Cricetulus griseus: one gene and its partners. The protein of the gene in region 3 binds, or shares a complex with, the protein of the main gene of each other region. Links are inferred from orthologs where the notes say so. Each region holds a gene or a part of one and is shown on either strand. Other genes may lie near its edges.

What was found. Proteins that work in one complex are often made in the same cells at the same time.
Region 1: Bud13 (region 3) and Rbmx2 share a complex: the UniProt entries of both Homo sapiens proteins name them as parts of the activated spliceosome. The link is inferred for Cricetulus griseus from reciprocal best matches to the Homo sapiens genes BUD13 and RBMX2.
Region 2: Bud13 (region 3) and Ppil2 share a complex: the UniProt entries of both Homo sapiens proteins name them as parts of the minor spliceosome. The link is inferred for Cricetulus griseus from reciprocal best matches to the Homo sapiens genes BUD13 and PPIL2.

Annotation. Positions count from the first base shown.
Region 1 is NC_048604.1:20,785,335-20,788,861, forward strand, and holds the end of Rbmx2 (RNA-binding motif protein, X-linked 2), read right to left. Parts: intron 2,010-3,527; coding exon 1,826-2,009; intron 1,315-1,825; coding exon 719-1,314; 3' UTR 656-718; downstream 1-655. UniProt on the Homo sapiens protein: Involved in pre-mRNA splicing as component of the activated spliceosome. As a component of the minor spliceosome, involved in the splicing of U12-type introns in pre-mRNAs.
Region 2 is NC_048597.1:72,241,788-72,245,491, reverse strand, and holds part of Ppil2 (RING-type E3 ubiquitin-protein ligase PPIL2), read right to left. Parts: intron 3,661-3,704; coding exon 3,543-3,660; intron 238-3,542; coding exon 181-237; intron 1-180. UniProt on the Homo sapiens protein: Has a ubiquitin-protein ligase activity acting as an E3 ubiquitin protein ligase or as an ubiquitin-ubiquitin ligase promoting elongation of ubiquitin chains on substrates.
Region 3 is NC_048597.1:158,028,965-158,032,668, reverse strand, and holds part of Bud13 (BUD13 homolog), read right to left. Parts: intron 3,368-3,704; coding exon 2,498-3,367; intron 1,073-2,497; coding exon 855-1,072; intron 1-854. UniProt on the Homo sapiens protein: Involved in pre-mRNA splicing as component of the activated spliceosome. As a component of the minor spliceosome, involved in the splicing of U12-type introns in pre-mRNAs.

The DNA of each region.
Region 1 (3,527 bases), on a different chromosome or scaffold from region 3:
TGAATCCATAGAAACAAAAGCCTATTTATGGTTGACATGGAAAATAGAGAAAGGTATGAACGATTAAGAACTACATGAAAATGGTTTTATTCCAACAATGAATGGACAAAATGCCACTGAATTGCTTAAAACAGTTAATTTTATTTTATATGAATTTTATCTCAATACAAATAAATAACTTATAAAGAAAAAATACATAGATATATGTAACCATCAAGAACCAAGAACAAAATAAAAGGAACCGGGATATAGCTGAGAAATCGAGCACTTCCCTATCATATCCATATTACACTCTCCAAATCTCATATGCTGCAGCTTTCTATAGTTGTACCTGCCATCTGGTAAGGACCTACAGAGCTGGACTCTAAATGTCTAACATGAAGACTAGAACTCCACCACTGCCTTGTGTTTGCCTTTCCCAGCAATCTCAAATCAAAGGTCTATAGGTTTAAGGGCCAAATCTATGAACCAAACTTTAGGCATATACTCTGGTCAGTACCAACTATTTTCCCAGGGACAGTGCATCATGTTTGTTTTGTTTTTTTAAATCTAACACACTGGCTATAGAAACGATAGCCTTCTGAACAACTCTGTCATGTAAGGGATTGAAAGAATTCAGCCCCAAAACTTTATATATAGAAATAACAACAACAAAGAGAATTTGATTATTTAATGCAAAAAGAATCAATTTTGAAGAACTGGTCAGCTGGCACAGACTTCAATAATGTCGACGGTAACTGGCATGGTAGGACTCCCGCTCCCGGGACTGCCTGTGCTTTTTATGCCTATAGGACTTATCCAGACTCCGACTCCTACGACTCCGACTCCTACGACTCCGACTTCTACGACTCCTACGACTCCTACTCCGACTTCTATGGCTCCTACTCCGACTTCTATGGCTCCTACTTCGACTTCTATGGCTCCGCCCTTCAGAATGCCCGCCATGCCTGCTGGTATGAGTACCTGAGCTCCTCCCTCTATCCTTACCTCTGCTCTTTTCTTCTCCCTCCCTCCTGCTCGAGGACTTATGCTCATGCTTGGGTTTCTCTTTCTTTGGCTCCCACTTGGGGGCCTCTGCTCTACCATGGAAGGAACTCCTGATATCAGGAAAGCCTGTGTGGTTCTTCCTCCCCTCTCTGGATTCCGACTTCTGGGCTTTCTCTGAGGTCTTGCTGCTGTGCTTCTTTGGGCCCTCTTCATCCTTCTCCTTTACTGCCCTGCTTCCAGAGGGCAAAGAACAGGATGGCGGCTCTGCTTGTACCTTGTGCTCCATCTTCTCTTTTTCTTTCTTTTTTTTCTTTTTCTCTTTTTTGTCTGGGAGGTAATCAATAGGGAAAAGAAAACACAAAGAAATCTCTTTAAAATGTGCCTTTCTTCTCTCAGTAAATCACATAAAACTGAGACGTTTCAAAATGTTCCCATGCAAGCAGATGGAGAATGTGTTTGTGAAAAACATCCCAGGTAGCAACAAGAAGCAGTCACAGTTTATGCCACCCAGAAAATGACTTCAAGAATCGAATTGCACACCTGTCACTCCTTATAGGTCAAGCTGTACAAAACATCCCCACACAGAAGTACTGTATCTCCAAATACAATCTCATTTTGAGATACAGAAGGGTTGGGATGACAACATATAAATTTAGGGAGATACAATTCTGCCTACACCACTAGCCTTCCTTCCTCAGTCACTTCTGCTTTCCCAAATAACGATTCTCACACCTTCCATTTTCTACTTGAGAGTGAATTCTTGACTATCTATCTACGCATGCTTGGAAAAGAAGACACTAAGAAACCCAGAATTTTCTACTGAGTTTTAAGACTCCACCTTTTTTGTGCTTTATGGTGGGCTTGACATCTTCATCTTCAGACACCTCAGTAGAACTTGATGGAGGTGTTTTAGCACCACAGCCCTTCTCCTGGAGCTCTCTGGTCACTTCATCCATGTCTTCTGATTCCTGAGGAGCCCGGTAGTTTGACACATGGTCCACACGGATAGTTCTTCCTTTGATCTAAGCAAGACCATAAATGTGTCAGCAAAGACAGCCCCCACATCCAACTATCTGAACCAAACTACAGAGAACCAAGGTTTGAATCACATCCATTACCTTGTATAAGGAAACCATTAAAGAAAACATGCTCAAATAAGAGATACCATAAGAGAGGGAGCCATTATAGGTTTAAAGAGAAGTCAGGAACTGGGAAATGTCCAGAGATTTACAAGGATGACACCAACTAACAATCTAAGCAACAGTGGAAAGGCTACCTTAAATGCCCTCCCCTGATAATGAGACTGACGACTAACTTATATGCCATCCTAGAGCCTTCACCTAGCAACTGATGGAAGTAGAAGCAGATACCCACAGCTAAACACTGAACTGAACTGGAAACCAGTTGCAGAGGAGGAGGGATGAGCAAAGGGATCAAGTCCAGGCTGGTGAAACCCACAGAAACAGCTGACCTGAACAACGGGGAGCTCTTGGTTCCCAGACTGATAGGTGGGAAACCAGCATGGAACTGATCCAGACCCCATGAACGTGGGTTTCAGTGAGGAGGCCTCAGAAATATATGGGGCCTCTTGTAGTAGATCAGTACTTATCCCTAGCATAGAAATGAACTTTGGGAGCCCATTCCACATAGAGGGATACTCCTTGAGCCTAGACACATGGGAGAGGGCCTAGGCCCTATCCTAAAGGATATGCAGACTCCAAAGACCGCCCTATGGAAGGCCTCACCCTCCCTGGGGAGGAGAAAGGGTATGGGATAAGTAGGGTGTTAGTGGGGGGCAGGGGAGGAGGGGAGGCAGAGGGAACTGGTATTGACAAGCAAAACAATCTTGCTCCTAATTTAATTTTAAAAATGGAAAAAAAAAGAAAAGAAAACATGCTCAACTGGTATGTTATAGAATATATAGCTAATACTAATAATACACAGCACTCAGGGCAGCTAAATGGGGTCTAGGGCAGGTAAAACCTCTGGGGCAATTATGCCCAGAGCCCCCTTGACATACTACAGGTACTATGCAAATTTCTTCATGTTCTGCATGTGTCATGAAGTTAAAAAAAAAAAACACTCAGAAGTATTGCCCTAAAGCACATCAAGAAAGTATATAAGATTTTAGGATTTAAAGGACAATTGATTATCTATAGGGATAGAGAACTGGTACAATTGGTAAAGCACCAGCCTTGTAAGAATAAGGACCTTAGGTTAATCCCAAGAACCCACATAATCTGGGTGACAGCACACACTTGTAATTCCAGCACTGGGAAGCAGAGATAGAAGACAGCTGGAGCTCACAGACCAAGCAACCTAGCCTACTCACAAGTTCCAGACAAGTGAGAGATTTTGTCTGAAAAAAAAAAGAAATAAAGGAAAAAATAGACAGATCTTGAGGAATGATGCCAAAGCTGTCCTCTGGCCTCCAACTATACATGAACACATATGAATATGTGTACATACATGCAAAGTTATACACAATGTTTAACAAGAAAACATGTCCTAGAAAAGCATGAGGGCCAGAAACATGAAAT
Region 2 (3,704 bases), about 86 Mb from region 3:
CAAAAAGGTGCCCTGAGAAGGAAGAGGAGCTAGAGCCGCCTGGGCCTCCTCTCCTTGGCTCCACAGGCCTGAAGAGCCAACCTTCCTCCACAGAAATACCCACAGTCCTCACCGGGGACTGCATGAGGATAATCCCCAGGTCCACACTGCACTGCGAACATGCACAGCATCTGCTCTTACCGTCCGAAGATAGTGTGCTTCTTATCCAGGTAAGCACAGGAGCGAAATGTGATGAAGCTGGGGAAAGCACATGGAGGTCAGGGAAGCAGCAGGCTGGGCCACCCAGCATACTCTAGTTGTAACAACGACTGCTCCTCAGTGGAAGCCACCTGCCCTTTCCCAAGTAAATCCAGACCTCTGGAGAAATCCCAGAGCTCGGCTGCCAACATCCCATGAGAGCCAAGCAGGAGACAGTGGAGGCTTGAGCTCGCTATCCAACTATCTTCAGGAGGCAATGGTTAGGGGTGAAGTAAACAGGCCATGTATGTGCAGCCTGGAGGGAGCCCTAGACTATAGCCTATAAGTGGGTGACAGCAGAACGCTGGAAGACATCAGACAAAAGGAGGAAAGTACAGCTGGGTGTGGTGTGGGGACTCACAGTGAGCCCTCATCCCTGAATAAAATAAATACTATGGAAAGCAGGAAGTTTATGGGATGGGTTGCAGTGCAGTCCCTACACAAAGTGGTACATGAACTCAGCCCTATTGTGACAACAGGACACAAGCCTCATCCTGACAGCCCACAGAGACCCTTCAGTGAGTAATGAAGATGCATCACCCTGCAAGCAAGGGCACTCCTAAGGTCACCAGGCAAGTCATGGAGCCCACACCTATGCACAGTCTAAGCCTTCACACTAGCTGAACTCCTGTTATTGCCATTGGAACAAGGGCTCATTGGCTATGCTATGGAACCAAGGATGACTGAATTGATCAGACCTAGCTCTCTTGAATTTCTAACATAATAAAGGAAGCTAGAAAAAGAATGAAATGAACCTGGAAAAAAAAAAAAAGAGGCAAGTAAAAAAACAACAAAAATGCAACTGGAATATTTAGGTTTTGTTCAAGTTTTTGAAGAGACTGTAAGGAAATGCTGACAAAGGAAAGCTGTCACATGTCCTGGAGAAAGGGCTCAGCAAACAAAAGTGAGCGCAGCTCTTTCAGGGTACAAACTCAGCCCGTGCCAAAAGAAAATGACTCTACGTGCACACCTCTCCTAGCCATACAAAGCAGCAACAGCTCAGTCACATGACTAGAGACAGATTTAAAAACTAGACCTCTGACAACAGAGCCACCTATCCTGACAAATGTTAGACTACAAAATCACATTTCATTTGGAGCAGGACACACATGTGCCTACCTCCAACACCCAGTGACAATGTGACTGATGTGCACATGGGAAGTTGAAGATGTCTCCTCTTCTGATAAGTTCAAAAATCTACAAAGAAACTCTTCATATAAACTTAGGAGAAATGACTCTGCAATTAAAAGCACTGGCTGCTCTTCCAGGACAAGAGTTCTATTCCCAGTACTTACACTCACAATCACCTATAACTTCAGTTCCAGGGACCAGGCCCTCTTCTGTCCTCCTCTGGCATCAGGCACAAACTTACATGCAGTATACAGACATACACGTAGGCAAAACACCCATACACATTAAAAAAATTTGGTTTTGTTTTTCAAGATAGAGTTTCTCTGTGTAGCTTTGGAGCCTTTCCTTGAACTCACTCTGTAGACCAGGCTGGCCTTGAACTCACAGAGATCCGCCTGTCTCTGCCTCCCAGATGCTAGGATAAAAGGCATGTGCCACCACCGCCTGGCTAAAAAATTTTCTTAATTTTTTTTTTTTTTTAAGATTTGATTGTAGGGGCTGGAGAGCTGGCTCAGCAGTTAAAGAGCACTAACTACTCTTCTGGAGGACCCAGATTCAATGCCAGCACCCACATGGCAACTCACAACTGTCTGTAACTCAAGATCCAACACCGATACCCTCGTACAGACATACAAGCAGGCAAGACACCAATGCATATTAAAAAAATTAAAAAAGAGGATTTGACTAGCTGTGTGATGGCCCACACCTGCAATGTCAGTACTCCAAGGCAGAGTTCTAGTACAACCAACCAGGGCTACATAATGAAACTTTGTATCAATATAAGTTGGCATGGTGGCCCACACCTTTCATCCCAGCACTCAGGAGGCAGAGGCAGGAGACTCTGAGAGTTTGAGGCCAGTCTGGTCTACAGAGGAGTTACAGGACAGCCACGGCTACACAGAAAAACCCTGCCTTGAAAAAAAAAAAAAAAAATCAACAAATACTAAAATTCCTTTGTATAACATTATCCAGGAAGTCAGAAGATCCACATAAAGAAAATGACAAAACTGAGCTGACAAGCTGGCTTGGCATGTGAAGACACCTGCTGTGTTAGGCCTGGCAGCCTGGATGTGATGACTGGATGCCATGGTGGAAGGACAGTCCTGACCCTACAAAGCTGTCATCTGACCTCCACACGCACACTGTGGCATGAATACCCTCACATAAAATAAGCTGTAATCAGCTGTGATGGGGCATGGTTTTGTCTTTTTTTAAATGATAGCCACCTTTAAAGATACCTTTCATAAACAAGATAGTTAAAGAAGAAATGGACAGAACATTTTTTAAAGATTTTTTTTTATTATTATTTTATGTGCATTGTCTGTGTGAGGGTGTCAGATTCCCTGGAACTGGAGTTATAGAAAGTAGTGAGCTGCCATGTGGGTGCTGGGAATTGAATCCACATCCTCTGGAAGAACAGCCAGTGCTCTTAACCACTGAGCTATCTTTCCAGTCCTGATGGTGAAAGTTTTTAAACACAGCACCCAGTATACAGAGACAGGCAGAAACCAGCCTGGTGTACACAGTGAGTTCCACAAGAACCAGGACTACATAATGAGAACCGGTTTCAAAATATTTTTTAAAAAAGAAAATAACAAAACTATACTCCATAGATAAAAGATATACCCTGGATGGAGACAGTTCTCAATGGTAGAACATGTATTTAGCATGCACAAAGCCTTGGGTTCACACCCCAGCACAAAAAAGAAAAAAAAAAAGACATATCCAGGAGAATTAAGCCACATTATTTGATTAAGATTTGATGAAGAATAGAATACAATACAAACCTATTCCAAAACACAAGACCAGACATCCAAGAGCCTTACCACCCACCACCACACACACTGGGCTCTGATAAGCCAGAGCCTTAGTACCTCTTCCTGGCCTTTTGTCCTCAGAATACCTCCTCCCAAAGCACTGGACCAGCAACCTTGCATGGCACCTGGTACCCACACACTCCTGGTTTTCCTGTTGGACCCCAAGAGGCCTTTGGGAACCCACTCATGACCACTATTCTACCAGCTGACTTGGGCTCCTTTCCTGGAGACGCCTGTGCTCCACCTGACTGAACACCCCCTTGCTTGGATTTGACTTGGGCCCAGCACAACCTTTAGGGACAACGCCAGGCGCTTTGCAAACCATCCTAGCAGCTGAGCAAGAAAAGCTGGACTCACAACTGAGACTTGTTGGTGTTGGGCCCCGAGTTGGCCATGCTGAGCACTCCACGGCCTGTATGTGAGAGGTTGGGGCGGAACTCATCTTTGAAAGGCTTGCCCCAGTAGGACTCTCCACCTGGAACAGAAGAGCAGAGTCAGTGGTCAGCCACAGAGCCTTGT
Region 3 (3,704 bases):
TGTTTTCTTTCTCTTTTTAAGATAGGGTCCCAGCCAGGCAGAGGTGGTGCACGCCTTTAATCCCAGCACTCCAGAGGCAGAGGCAGGTGGATCTCTGTAAGGTCGAAGCCAGCCCAGTCTACAGAGCTAGTTCCATGACAGCCAGCCACAAAGAAACCCTGTCTCACAAAATAAATAAATACATAAAAGATAGGGTCCCATACAGTACAGGCTGGCCTTGAACTCACTTATGCACATTTCACAAAGAAGGAAGCTGAGGATTAAAGAAATCAAGTTTCTTGCCCAGTCTCACAGATAGTAAGCAGCAGAGTAGGATTTAAAACTATAATTGGTTTTAAATCATAGTTGGGGTTCTGTGCTCCCAACTGCACTCAGCCTCAGCTTATTATTAGGACCTGCTGTCCTATCAGGTGGGAAGACGCAGGCAGGTCAGAAGTTCAAGGCCAGCCACTCACAACAAAAAATTAAAAACAGGGAGGCTTTCTGGAGATACTGAGACTTGTGGCATTACAAGGCTATAAAAGGCAGGAGCATCCTGGGAAATCTGGCACAAGCTGGGCACTCCTGATCCAAAACTAGAAATCCATAACAGTCCATAATCCAAGACATTCTGAGCATCATTTTGTGCAGTATCTGTAAAGTCTTAGAACCTTCAAGCATCTGGACAAGGCATCCTCAAGCCTCTGCTCAGATGAGCCAGAGACATGCTGCCTTCAGAGAGAAAGTTCCAGAAGTGCTTTTAACTCAGATTTACTGCACCGCATCCTGACTCTCTGGTGGCAATCTTTTTAGTGTCTGTAAAGCTAGAAGGGAGGAGTCACTCTGATAAAGACACAAGTCCTGGAAATCCCTACCTTCTTCCCGGGACGGGGACTCCTTCGAGGAGGAGAGAGATCAGAATCAGAAGATTTGGTCCTTTGTCTTCTCCGGGGCGGAGAGAGGTCAGAGTCAGCGCTCCGGTGTCTCTGTCTATTCCGTGGTGGTGACAGATCTGAATCAGAGTCCTGGTGTCCTGAATTTTGTTTTTGCCGTGGAGGAGAGAGATCTGAATCAGAGGATTTTTGGCAGACACCTAGGTAGAAAGGAGCCATCAAAGTGTGACTTGCTGTTTCCCAGGGAAAGTGTTTATATGAAATCTCCTGTGGTTAAGAGAACCTAGGGATTAAAGAATGCATTAAGGATGTGAGCTGTGATGGTTCAGGAGTAAAGTGAACCTAGTATGTCAGGCCCGGGTTCTGGTTCCCAGCACAGGGGAGAGGGAGGGAGAATAAATTAACCCCATCAGAAGAATGTTTATAAGAACTTACCAAACTGGGGTACAGTGTCTACTTAGTCATCCTATGAAAAAAACATAACTAACCAAAACACAAGCATAGGTGACATGGAGAAGAACAAAGTCAGTGGCTCTGTTTCTGGGCCACCAGTGTCTGGTGACTTTGAAAAGCATGTGAGATTTCAGACACTCATCTATACTGCCAACCTGTCCAGAACCAGCAGAAGAGCTTGGAGTCAGTCCTCTGCGGTATGGCAGAGACAAGAAAGCCTGGATGTTCTCAGACTCAAGAAAAACAAAGTAATTTAATTTTAAAATTAAAACAGCAGCTAGGGCAAATGAAGGAGTAAGAAACTTTCTGCATAGGCCTGTTCTAGATAACTGTGTCACTGTTCACTTACTGAAAAGCAGCCCTGTAGTAGTTACCAAGGTTACAGCAATGGCCAAACATTCTGACCTAGCAAACAACTGCTCAGCTTTCTAGGAACCTATCAACTAAATCCCCAAAAGATCTAAGATAAGAAACAACCCATAGTTGTTCCAACAGGATGGTTGTCAAATATCCTAAGAGCAAAGCTAGAAGTAATCCAAAGCATGCAATCTCAGGGAAATGGCTAAGTCAATTCATGTAACATAAAGAGGTTTTTAAAAAAAAAAAAAATCATAATAACATAAAGACACCTATAACCCAGGAAAAACTATTGAGTGGAAGGGGCAAGCAAGATTACACATGCAACATGCATGTTTTGCACAGCCAGGCTCAACTACACCTAGCATGTATGCCAGAAAGTACCTAAAGCCACTGGCTACAACTTGAACAATGATGGTGTCTAAATGACACAATTTTGTGAGACTTTTCCTGTGTCTATATGTTTCTGTACATTCTGAAGCTTTTGCAACGCACACAGGATTTCTCATTTTTATTTATTATTACTCTGTGTGTATGTGAGTGCAGGCGCCCACGTATGGAGATCAGAGTCAGTTTTGTCCTTTCAGTGCACTGGTACAGAAAATGCTTTTACCCACTGAGCCACCTCGCCTGCCCCATCAGTGCCTTTTTATGGGGTATGGGGTAGGAAGGGTAAGCAAAAGCACATAAAAACTTGCCTCCCTGCCCCTGTAATTTTTCAACTCTAAGCCTAGCCTCTCATGTTTTAAAATGTTTCCAAAGAAACTCATTCTCATACTCAGGGATGAAGCTCTTACACACAGCTATACGCTCACCTTTAGGATCCAGCTGCTTCTTAGCTCCAACATGAGCTTTTGCTTGCCATTTCCGTGGAGAAAGGTCAGAGTCACGCCCGTACTTGCTGTTCTTGGAGACTGACGGGTGAGAGGGTTCTTGGCCCCTCTGGTGTACAGTCTTATTACAGGATCTTTCTGCAGCTTTACTGCTTTTGGTTCTGGGCAGTTCCAAATCAGGGGAGTCATGACGGGGCCTCCTGAGATGCTGTGGGTCTGAAGGATCAACAGTCCTCCTATGTTGGGGTGTGTCAGGAGAGTGGTTATGGGCCCTTCTTGGGGAAGAGATATCTGAGGAACCATGATGACCTCTCCTAGGAGATACACTTGAAGAATTACGATGAGACTTCCTGGGAGGAGAAGTAGCTGAGTCATGGTGGACCCTTCTGGGAGGAGATGTGTCTGAGTCATGACGGGATCTCCTTGGGGGAGATGGATCTGGGGTATCATGACGGGCCCTCCTGGGAGGAGATGGATCTGGTGTATCATTACGGGCCCTCCTGGGAGGAGATGGATCTGGTGTATCATGACGGGCCTTCCTGGGAGATGGATCTGGGGTATCATTACGGGCCCTCCTGGGAGATGGATCTGGTGTATCATTACGGGCCCTCCTGGGAGATGGATCTGGTGTATCATGATGGGCCCTCCTGGGAGGAGATGGATCTGGGGTATCATGATGGGCTCTCCTAGGAGATGGATCCGGGGTGTCATGACAGGTCCTCCTGGGAGATGGATCTGGGGTGTCATGATGGGCCCTCCTAGGAGAAGATGGATCTGGAGTGTCACGATGAACTCTCCTAGGAGGAGATGGATCTTGGTCATCATGATGGAAATGTCCATCTTCACTGTGGTCTAAACACAAAAACAAACAGTCAGATCCCCACCAGTGCTTTGTCCACATCTCACTCAGTTTAAAAACATGTCTCTAAAACACACATCTCTCAACTACTCGAAAAGCCCATAAGGTCTACCCAGCTCTTGTGTTTAGGGGCAGCAAACCAGCACTCTCAGACAACCTAAAGAGTAACTCCTCTCATTTGCCTCCCAAGACCTACAGTAATCAAGGCAGGTGATTTCGTCTAATAGACATGAAAAAAAGGTTCTGGGAATTCCCTATGGTCACCATTACTAAGAGGAGACATACCCCAACCCCAGTCACTTCATTCCCAATCCAGTTCCTTTTCCAGTG